Caenorhabditis elegans: one gene and its partners. The protein of the gene in region 1 purifies or fractionates together with the protein of each later gene. This does not show direct contact. Each region holds a gene or a part of one and is shown on either strand. Other genes may lie near its edges.

Region 1 (3,755 bases):
GGGAAATTCGAATTTCTATTTAAAAAGTTTACAATATGCTAAAAATCTAGACAAACTTTAACTTTTCATATAAATTTGGCGGGAAACTCGAATTTAAATTTTTTTTTTTCAAAATATTTAAACAATTTTTTTTTTCTATTTAGAAGTTCAAATATGAGTTATTTGAAATTTCTTTTTTCTAAAAATTTTGCACGAAATTCAAATTCATGGAGTTCGCTCTGGTTCAGTGGCTGGTCTTCTAATGAATTATGTTTGTTTTTTCGAACATCGAAAGGAAATAAGCGGGACTCATTTCATTGCTTCCTCCTTCATTGCTTCCTCCTTTTCTCCCTTTCGAATTGTACTACGAGACCCCCTTTGTGCATTATTATTTTACCCCCATTTTCCACCCCAAGACAGTCTCAAGTTATAGGAAATCTTCACATGATTTGCTCACAGTGCATGCACACAAAAAGTTATAAGATCTGAAGAGAGACGCAGACAGATTATTCAAACAGCAAGGGCTCCCACCACCGGAGAGGATCTGCGGATTCCGCCGTAATTTTACACTATCCGTCGGGGGCCGGACACTACTACACTGCCCTTTCCGCTGAACAGACGTTTCTATTCGTTTTTCATCGATTTTTGCATAAAGTTCGGGTTTAGTGGGTTTAGTAAACCTAAGAATTTCTAGGTTTTTTATGAATTTTAGGTCCTTTTTTTGAATTTATATAATTTATTTTAATGTAAATACTATGAAATTTTTATTTTGATTTTTTCCGAAAAAAAAATATCAAAAATTCCAGAAATATTTCAGCCGACCCATAGCCGCCGGGTATAGCACTAGAGCCTCACGGCAGTACATATTTATTTAGAAACTCTAGTATTCCACGTGAAAAAATATATTTAAATATACCAGAAATTTTGAAGGAGTTGACGACTACAGTACTCCTTAAAGGCACACGTTTTTCTGATTTCAAGAAAATTTATCGGTTCGTGCCGTAGTTTTTGAGAAATCCGAGTGCCGTAGTTTTTGAGAAAAAATTTTCCTTGTGGTTGCCCATATAATTATTTTCATGACGAAAATCTGAAACGATGTTTTATGGGTCTGCTAAATATTTATCATACCCAACTTTGGTCTGCTAAATATTTAGCATACCCAACTTTGGTCTGCTAAATATTTAGCATACCCAACTTTGGTCTGCTAAATATTTAGCAGACCCATTTGGGATATTGAGTTTATCCTGAAATGATGATTTCCTTTGTTTAAATCCACTCAAATTCCGTTTTTTCTCTGAAATCCTCTAATCCCCTGAAAAAAACCTAAAAATATATTTTTTTTACTATATAAATTCGGATTTTTCCAGAAACCCCACATATTTTCGACTTTTCCCGAACTTTTCCCACTCGTTATCTCTATTTCTCTTCTATTCCCTAGGATATCTCTCCCGCCTGGGAGCTTTTCGAAAGCTCCAGAGCACCTGGGCGGAGCTCCCGCGGCAACTGGATTTTTTACCGTTATTCTTCATTCATTTTTCCAGGACATTAACAAATTTTCTTGCAGTGAAAATTTTTATTTCAAAAAAAAAGAAAAGAAAGTCAATTTTAGGATGTTATACATCTCCAAAATTCGTTAGTTTTAGCTTTAAAATCAAAGTTTTCATAAAAATTAAATTTGAAATCCCTCCAAAAAATAGTCTGCGCTTCACACTCTCTAACACGTGCCGGTGGAGCGCGCTTGCATTTTTCCTTTTTTGTTAATTTTTTTTTGCGGGAAACTTTTCGGGAAAATTACTCTAAAACTCAATAAAAACAGCTTTTAAGTGCATTTTTCTTGAAAATTAGTTTCAAAAATGATATTTTAATCAGTTTTACACCATTTTTGTCGATTTTTCCTCTTTTATCCGTCGAATTAATAGTATCTCCTGACAAAAATAATGATTTTATAGTTTTTTTTTTTTGGTTTTCAGCAATGGTTGCTCGAGTACAGACTGCGGAGGAGATCCGCGACGAGGGAAATGCTGCAGTTAAGGATCAGGATTATATAAAAGCTGATGAATTGTTGGTTTTTCTGAAATTTCAGTGGAAAACTGAAATTAAACTGATTTCCAGATACACTGAAGCTCTCCAACTCACCACTGACGAAGACAAGGCTCTTCGGCCGGTTTTGTACAGAAATCGAGCAATGGCTCGGCTGAAAAGAGACGATTTTGAAGGAGCACAATCGGATTGCACGAAAGGTTTACAAAAAACCTGGAAAATTTGCTGAAAAACCTAAATTTACAGCTCTGGAATTCGACGGGGCCGATGTAAAAGCTCTCTTCAGACGATCGCTGGCTCGTGAACAGCTTGGAAATGTTGGGCCAGCTTTTCAAGACGCAAAAGAGGCTCTGAGGCTCTCGCCAAATGATAAGTGCGTGGAAAAACTAGGCGAAAACCGATGAAAATTAAAAGAAAAATAATTTTTTCTGGCACTTTCCAGTTATATTTCAAAGTTTTTATGACCAAATTTCAGTGAAAAATGCAAAAGTTGCAAATTTTGGGTCTGCTAAATATTTAGCAGACCCAACCTCCCGAAACTGATTTTTAAAGCTAAAAATTATTAGAATTTTCAGACGTTTCTCTCCGAAATATAGCATGCCAATAGAAAAATTGACAAAAATCAAGGTTTTCTCATCGAAAATAGCAAAATAACTTTTAAAAATCTACAGAAACTCACAATTTTTGTTTAAAATGCCAACATTTATAAATTTTCTAAATATTTAGTTTTAAATTTGTAATTTTCTCACTTTTTTCTGTGAAAAAATATGCAAAATGAAACTGAAAAATCCACTAAAACATGTTTAAAAATTTATCTTGAAGAAAAACGTAGGAAATTTCAAATTTGCAGCTAAAAAATCAGCGAAAAAATTTTTTTTTCAAAATTTGAGGAGGTTGGGTATGCTAAATATTTAGCAGACCCAAGGAAAAATATTTAGCAGACCAAAGATAGGTATGCTAAATACTTAGCAGACCAAAGATAGGTATGCTAAATATTTAGCAGACCAAAGAAGGGTATGCTAAATATTTAGCAGACCCAAGGTGGGTATGCTAAATATTTAGCAGACCCAAGGAAAAATATTTAGCAGACCAAAGATAGGTATGCTAAATATTTAGCAGACCAAAGATGGATATGCTAAATATTTAGCAGACCAAAGATGGGTATGCTAAATAATTAGCAGACCAAAGATGGGTATGCTAAATAATTAGCAGACCCAAAGAAAAATATTTAGCAGACCAAAGTTGGGTATGCTAAATAATTAGCAGACCAAAGTTGGGTATGCTAAATATTTAGCAGACCAAAGTTGGGTATGCTAAATATTTAGCAGACCAAAGATGGGTATGCTAAATAATTAGCAGACCAAAGTTGGGTATGCTAAATATTTAGCAGACCCAAGGAAAAATATTTAGCAGACCAAAGATGGGTATGCTAAATATTTAGCAGACCCAAGGAAAAATATTTAGCAGACCAAAGATAGGTATGCTAAACATTTAGCAGACCCAAGGAAAAATATTTAGCAGACCAAAGATAGGTATGCTAAATATTTAGCAGACCAAAGATGGATATGCTAAATATTTAGCAGACCAAAGATGGGTATGCTAAATAATTAGCAGACCCAAAGAAAAATATTTAGCAGACCAAAGATAGGTATGCTAAATATTTAGCAGACCAAAGATGGATATGCTAAATATTTAGCAGACCAAAGATGGGTATGCTAAATAATTAGCAGACCAAA
Region 2 (3,755 bases), on another chromosome or scaffold:
CAATCGCCACGTTTGTGAGGGGACCGATGGTTCTGAAAAATGGTTTTGTTGAAAATTTAGGGAAAATTGAGCAAAAATAGATTAAAATCGAAATTTGACACCCAGAATAGCTCGGCGTAGGCGAAAATGTAGGAGGACTGTATGGATACTGTAGGAGTACCGTAGGACTTTAAAAGGGTAATGTTGAGGTACTATAGGGGTAATGTAGGGGTACTGTAGGAGTACTGTAGGGGTACTGAAGCGGTACTGTAGGGTTTCTGTAGGGGGTCTATTGGGGTAGGGTAGGGAAACTGTCCAGGTACCAGGGATACTGTAGGGGTACTGTAGAAATACTGTAGGTATACAGTTATGGTACCATAGGGCTTTAGTGGAATTAGTGTAGGGTTACTGTAGGGTTACTGTGTGTGTACTGTGGGGGGAACAGTAGGGGTACTGTAACACTATTGTGTGAGTACCTGTTCGGTTACCAGAGGTACTGTAGGGTTATGTAGGGGATCTGTTGGGGTACTGTCGGGGTACTATAGGGTTACTGTAGAGTTGCTGTAGGGATACTGTAGTGTTACTGCAAGGGCACAGTGGGGAACTGTGGGGATACAGTAACACTACTGCGTGAATACTAGAGGGGAACTGTCCGGGGTACCAGGGATAGTGCAGGGGTACTGTGGGGTACTGTAGGGATAGTGCAGGGGTACTGTGGGGTACTGTAGGGATAGTGCAAGGGTACTGTAGGTCGCTGTGGGGGTACTGTAGGGGTACTGTAGGGATGCGGTGGGGGTACAGAAGGGTTACTGTAGCCTCAACTTACACCAAAGTGGCATCCCGATTCTCTCTCAAAATATCGATTAAAGCAAGTGACGCATGCTTCCCCTCCCCCTCAAAATCGGATCTTTCGACTTTCGGGAACTCCTCCGGCTTATCACCGATCCCATCGATCCCGAAAAAATCGGATACGGTATCATCCTTCGGCAGCGACAAAATCGATTTAGCCGCACCCTTGTACACTGGGATATTGCTCCGATCGTTGGCTCGGATGGTTCTTTTGATGTTCGCACAGGCTTGATCTACTGTCACACAGCCGTGGACTGCGGTGAATGCGAGAATTTCGGCTTTTGGGTGCTGCAAGGCTAGGGAGATGGCTCGCACGTCGTCGCTTACACCGTCAGAGTCTGAAAATCGATTAATTTTTGTTTTTAAAGCTTAAAATTTGGTAAACTTTATGTAAAACTTTAAAAATCGATAAAACTCGCTAAGCAAGCGCGCTCCAGTGAACTAGTCCGTTTTCCGACGCTAATTTCAAATTTTCAAGTGTTTTTTGACGAAAATAAGTGGAAAATTTGAAGACTTCTTGTTTTTTTTTAAATTAGAATTCTCGTTTATCATCTGAAAATCCGAAAAAATCGATTATTGAAGCGTCTAGACTCGTTTTTTTAAATCGCCAAGCAATGCAATCACGCTCCAATGACAAACTCAGTTTTCTGGCGGGAAGCTCGAATTTTCCAGTGTTTTAACGAAAATCTTCGGAATTAATACGTTTTCGGTGTATTTGAACGTAGAAAAGTAGAAATTTTAAAAAAGAAAAGAAAAAACTCGAGTTTTAACGAATTTTATAGAATTTTTTACTCAAAAATTGGTTTAAATTTGTTTTTATTCTCCGTTTAACTCACCAATGACCAGCTTAACCTTGTCCACAGTCATGTTGTCTTTTTTCTGAAGAGCGTAATGTTATTAAAGTGAAAAAATTAAACTTAAAATAACTAAATAAATATATGAATTATTTCTCGTCGCAAAAAACGCAACATTTGGGCAAAAATCAATCTGTCACCTGAATAATGCACACAATCTTATCATTTTTTATCAATTCTTATCGCATTTTCTTCGATTATTCTCGCTTTTTCGCCGTAATTCCGCATAAATGCGATAATTCGCGAAAAAACTACGGTTTTTCTTAAAGGCGCATAGCTCAAAACTTCAAATAGGTCTCGCCACGAATTCAGTGATGTGAGGGATTCGATGGAATTTTGAATTTTTAAAATCGATTTTTGCGATTTCTAGACGGTTTTTCGCCGTTTTTTCGGAGATTTTTGACGAAAAATGGAGAATTTCGACGGAAAATCGATGCCGCCAACTCCGGTGCCAATCGGATCAAGTCAGGTAGGGCAAAAATCCGGAAAAATCGATACAATTCACAAAAAATCCGAATTTTTTCCAGTTCTACCGCTGGATGCCGCACCCGATCGTCGATACACCACCGTCAGATGCTACGTGGCGCAAACCGGTGCCACGCGGCCGAATTCGTGATCTCGTCGCCGCGTTCGATCAGTGCTCCGGCATGCTGGAGCAGAAGCCCCCACCTCCGCCCACGCAAAGGGTTGAAAGTCTTGAAAATGGTGCGGAAATCAATCGATAATTGAGAAAATCGATAGGGGAATGCGAAAAAACTGGAAAAAAATGGGGAAAATTGAGAAAAATTGAGGAAAATGAGAAAAAAAAACCATTTCCCCCGGTATTTCTCCTATTCAAATGCAAATTTATAAATTCACATGTATTGTTAATTTATTTGCACTGTCAACACACCAACTATACAGTTTTTACATGGAAAATTGATTTTTTAGAAAAAACAATCGGAAAATCCCAAAAGTTTTGGGAAAAATCCAGAAAAAATGGGATTTTTCGCAAGTTTTCGGATGAAAATTATGGTTTAAATTGAATTTTGAGTGGAAATTTGCAAAATTGGACTTTTTCAGAGAAAATAGTTATAATTTGCAAAAAACTAATTTTTAGAAATTTTTTTTTCCAAAAATTCAAAAAAATTTTTTTTTTCAAAATTTTCATTTTAATTGGCAATTTACCATTGAGTTTCTGGTGAATTTCGAAAATTTTCTCTAAAAAATCCTGAAAAAACGGAAAAACCTCTGGAAAATTCTAAATTTCCAGCAAAACCACCAAAATTGTCGGATTTTGTGTTAAAATTCTGTAATTTTCGGTGGAAAAATCGCTAAAATTTAGAATTTTGTGATTTTAAGCTAATTTTAAGGAATATTGTGAAAAAAATTAAATTTTTTAAGAATTAAAAAAAATTTCAAAAAATTTTTTTTTTTTTCAAAAATTAAAAAAAAATTTTTTTTCGAAATATTCACTTTTTATTGGGAATTTTACGAATTTTGAGCGAATTTTAAAAAAATTCCAAAAAACGATAATTTTTTTGCAAAAAAAATTTTTTTTCGAAAAAAAAATTCAAGTTTTTCCAACTTTTCACATTTTTCTCAAAAATGATCTTCAAAATTCGAAATTTCCCGCCAAAAATAACCCATTTTTCTTCCAGAACACATTGCTCCACCGCCAACTTCAAAATCCTCCAAAATTCCGGAAATTCTCGCCAAAAAATCGGAAAAATACATCTCACCGTACGAAAAACGTCATTTTCATGGTCGTCGTGGCACCCAGGCTGTCGTTTTTAATTCGAATAATGCTCAAAATGCTCCAAATGTGGGCGGAGCCTATCCATATGGAGCCACACCGTTGAAATTGCGAAATTTGGCCCAAAAAATGGATAAAGAGGAGCTCTACGTGGCTGATGACGTTGGAATTTCCAAAAAATCTGAAAATTTCGAAAATTCCGATGATGACGTGGCAAAGTACGAAAATTTGCGGCAAAAATGCTATAAATTCGAAAAAAATTCAAATTTTGTAGCCATTTTTGACATTTTTCCTTTAAAAAAAAATCTAAAATGTCCAAAAAAAAGCCGCGAAATTCA
Region 3 (3,755 bases), on another chromosome or scaffold:
TGAATATTATCAGTTGTGGAACACTCCTCCTTCCCCTCGTTGCTCAAAAATTTTTTAAGCTTGTTCAATTTGCTCTCATTTTCTTTTACGTTTTCCTTAACGTTTTCGCACAGAGAGCAGAATTTACTGAAAAGCCAATTCCTATTGTTAGTTTATATAAATTGCAAACCAACCATGTAGTTTTACCACCGAGCATCTCTCTCAATTGGGAGTTATAACTCTCTGGACACCATTGAGATGGACTAGTTACGTTTGCACAAATGCTCTCAACTCCACGAAGATTTTGAATCGCGTCTTCTGATTTGCAGGGAACGTTTTGGCCAAGTTGCATAAATGCTTCAATGTATCTAGAAGAAAGAATGTACCATTTTTTTTTTCTATTAGACTGTTATCGGCATTGCTTTACTTTGACGGTTTAGTTTATCGAAAAAAAATGTTTTCACTAATAAAGTAAAGAAAACTATGTTATAAGTGTGTTCAGTTCGCACTTTTCATGAAACCAAAAAACCCGGGAAACCCCCGTCGAAGAGGTGTAAAGAGGTGCAAGTTTAATAGGGAAAAATACGGAATCTATTACGATTTTAAGAGATTTGCAGGATTCAATTTTACGAATGAACTCCAGTCTTAAGTTTCAGCTCTAACTTACGGATTCTCGATAGGTCTCAGCATCTTAAAGCTGACTTTAACTCTATAGCATCCAGGGAAATCAATTTGGCGAGTTTCTCCATTAATATCAGTAATTGTTACTTCATCTTTTTCTTCATCTTCTTCCTCTGGATTATCATTCTTCAACATTTTCATTGTGATCTTCAACGAGCTCTCGTCAATAACATCGGAATCCACTAAACTTGGTTGTAAATTAATTGTAAAACCATTTAATTTTTATTTAAAAGAACAAACCATTCGGACAACTTTGTGTGACATTTTCTCTAACTTGAATGTGAACTTTTCGGCATGTTGCCAGTGCTAAAACAGTTAGGAGTAGTATGAGGAATCTGAATAACATCTTTGAATATTCTGAATTGTCTAACAATTTTCTTTTATAGCATTTTCAGTTGATCGTGATCATCTTGACCTAGTTATTCGAACAACTAGAATATAGCAAATCCGTTGTTGCCGGACTATTATTAGAAGAAGAGGAAGCGAACACTTTCCGAAAAAAGAGTGGAATTGTTTGCATTATGAACAACGTTTTTAAAACATTTAACCGGAATTTTTTAGATCCAAAGTTTTTTATTCAGATTAAACAATTTAATTGATCAATTCTGAACTATTATTTCAAGTTTGAAGCTTAGCGTTTTCTGGTTCATCAATTTGATTTTGCAGTTTAAGAAGCAGAGGAAGGGAATTCCCGAAAAAAATGCATTGTTTGTTTTATGAACAACGTTTCTATATAAGTCGCATTGATTGAAAGATTGCAATGTTCAAATTTCGGTTTTTTTTCTTGGACTGAAATCTACCGTACCACTTCCAAAATTTCGTGTTTCTCGAATTATATTTCAGACGCAAATAATTAATATTTCTCGTAGCACAGGTTATTCTTGGCTTTTCGACATAATTTTCTTTCAAATTTTCATTGACATGCTCTCAAATTTCAAAGATTTTCTTCTCTAGAAATGCTCTCACATCTAGTACATATTCTCTCTTCCAGCGAATTTTTCACAAATTTTAAGTGTAAATAATGTAATTGAATTCTGAACATGGTTCAAATGCTTTTTATTTTATAGACTATTTATTACTCATTTTTTATAACTGCTTTAGTGTGCTTTCTTTTTCGCTGAAGAATAAAAAACATTTCAAACTAAATATCTCAAGTAATCTCTATCCACTTTCCGTGTGGTGTCTCTCGAAAACGCAAGCGCGCTCTACGGCTAAAATCGATGCGCTCATTTCTCTGTTTGTGATTCATTTTTGTTCACTCTTTTATTCAATGAATCACCACTTTTATTTTGTCAATCTTTATTTCTTTTTAGTTATTTGATAGAAATATATTTTTAAAATGTTTATAAGCATAACTCTTTCTCGTTCAGAATGTCGGAGATCAGTGACGCCGAAAAGGTCCGCATTGCTTCGGATTTCATTAAACACGCGCCACCCGGCGAGTTCAACGAGGTAATTTTTTGTCGATTTTTAGGAGAATTGCTCGTTCAAGCTTGATATTATAGTCATCAAAAAATTTATATTTCGCAATTCACTTCAATTGTCAATTTACCTTTCCATTCAGGTATTCAATTCGGTTCGGATGCTTTTGGAAAATGATGATCTTCTGAAGAACAAATGTGTTAATGCTATCGCTCAATATAACGTTGGACAATTTGTGCCAGTAAAGTTGGATGGTGTTGCCAAGCAGGTATACTATTTTCATTTTTTAAACTTTCTTCAAATATTTAATTATTTTCTTCAGACTCTGATCACTCCATACAATGATTTGGGTAATGGACGTTTCTACGATGAAGTTTCAAAGAAAAGTTTCAAATACGATCACGTCCGTAAAGAGGCCGCAGATCTTCAACCACATCCAGCCGAGTCTGGAATAACCGAACAATGGCGTCAAGCTCTTCAAACTCAACTCGATATATATATTGATGATCATTACGCGAAAAGTGGAACGGGAGTGGTTTTTGCTCGAAACGGAGTTTTCACGATTTGCATCGAATCTCATCAATTCCAGCCAAAAAATTTCTGTAACGGAAGATGGCGTTCGGAGTGGAATGTGCCGGTTGGCGATGGTAAATCAGGATCTCAGGAGATGAAAGGAAAAATTTTGTCGCAAGTTCATTATTACGAAGACGGAAACGTGCAGTTGTTCTCTGAGAAAGAGCCGGTTCTTAAAGTCAATGTTTCGGTAAATTTTTTTTTCCATAAATTGATCCAATTTAGAAGGATAGAAAAAAAAGTTTTTCATAAAATTGTGAAGAACAAAATAAAATCACAGGAATCATTTAAATTATATTTTTCATAGAGCTATTTAATCGAATTAAAAATTGGCATATAAAGCCCTATTTTCAGGCTGACTTCGACAAAACCGCCAAAGAAATAATTCATGCCATTTCCGAGGAAGAGACTATATATCAGAATGCTGTACAAGAGAATTACGCTAATATGTCTGATACCACATTCAAAGCACTTCGTCGCCAATTGCCAGTTACTCGCGCTAAGATGGACTGGAATAAGGTATCGTAATTTCACAATATTTCGGAATGCCTTCGGAAAAGTGCACAGATTTATTCAGATGGGTCTCGGTGTTTCTTATTTTTCTGTTAACAAATGCTTCGAATCAGTTTTATATCCCTTGTCATGCAGACACAATAAAAAATAATTGTGATTTGAAAACTAATTTAAAAAGAATTTTAACAGAAACAAGAGATGAAGCCGACAAAATTCTCTAAATGCGAAGTAATTTCTTTGAAAAAGATTAAGCAAGGGCTACCATAATAAATCTGTGCGCCTCTACAAAGGCATGTCAAAATTTTCAGAATTGATAAAATAAAAAGAATAAATTAATTTTAATTCAGGCTCAAACCTACCGAATTGGTCAGGAAATGAAGTAATCACAAAATCGTTATCACATCGCTTTGCTTCAAGTTCGTCTGCTGGTCTTCATCATCTTCCTAATCCTCTCCAAAAACCAAAAAATCCTCCAATTTCGACCTTTATTTCTCCCACTTTCCTTTATCCTTTGGCCGGACACTAGACGTGCTTTACAACATAATACCCTTCGTTTGCTCCGCTGCTTCTTTTTTCATGATTTGATA

Evidence for each region.
Region 2: the proteins of unc-45 (region 1) and Y43F8C.13 fractionate together in Caenorhabditis elegans (co-fractionation; one large-scale study listed by BioGRID). This does not show direct contact.
Region 3: the proteins of unc-45 (region 1) and cap-1 fractionate together in Caenorhabditis elegans (co-fractionation; one large-scale study listed by BioGRID). This does not show direct contact.

What each region holds. Positions count from the first base shown.
Region 1 is NC_003281.10:489,598-493,352, forward strand, and holds the start of unc-45 (UNC-45/Cro1/She4 central domain-containing protein), read left to right. Parts: upstream 1-1,949; 5' UTR 1,950-1,951; coding exon 1,952-2,040; intron 2,041-2,091; coding exon 2,092-2,219; intron 2,220-2,265; coding exon 2,266-2,392; intron 2,393-2,809; exon of another isoform or gene 2,810-3,238; intron 3,239-3,755.
Region 2 is NC_003283.11:19,695,692-19,699,446, forward strand, and holds the start of Y43F8C.13 (Nucleoside hydrolase), read right to left. Parts: upstream 1,708-3,755; 5' UTR 1,696-1,707; coding exon 1,665-1,695; intron 1,167-1,664; coding exon 806-1,166; intron 33-805; coding exon 1-32. Other genes in the region: ani-3 (Anillin-like protein 3), read left to right, coding at 2,092-2,151, 2,210-2,387, 3,323-3,635.
Region 3 is NC_003282.8:7,228,499-7,232,253, reverse strand, and holds the start of cap-1 (F-actin-capping protein subunit alpha), read left to right. Parts: upstream 1-2,030; 5' UTR 2,031-2,031; coding exon 2,032-2,112; intron 2,113-2,224; coding exon 2,225-2,350; intron 2,351-2,404; coding exon 2,405-2,845; intron 2,846-3,009; coding exon 3,010-3,174; intron 3,175-3,515; coding exon 3,516-3,551; 3' UTR 3,552-3,755. Other genes in the region: D2024.4 (DUF19 domain-containing protein), read right to left, coding at 1-126, 174-347, 647-842, 901-1,006. UniProt on the Caenorhabditis elegans protein: F-actin-capping proteins bind in a Ca(2+)-independent manner to the fast growing ends of actin filaments (barbed end) thereby blocking the exchange of subunits at these ends.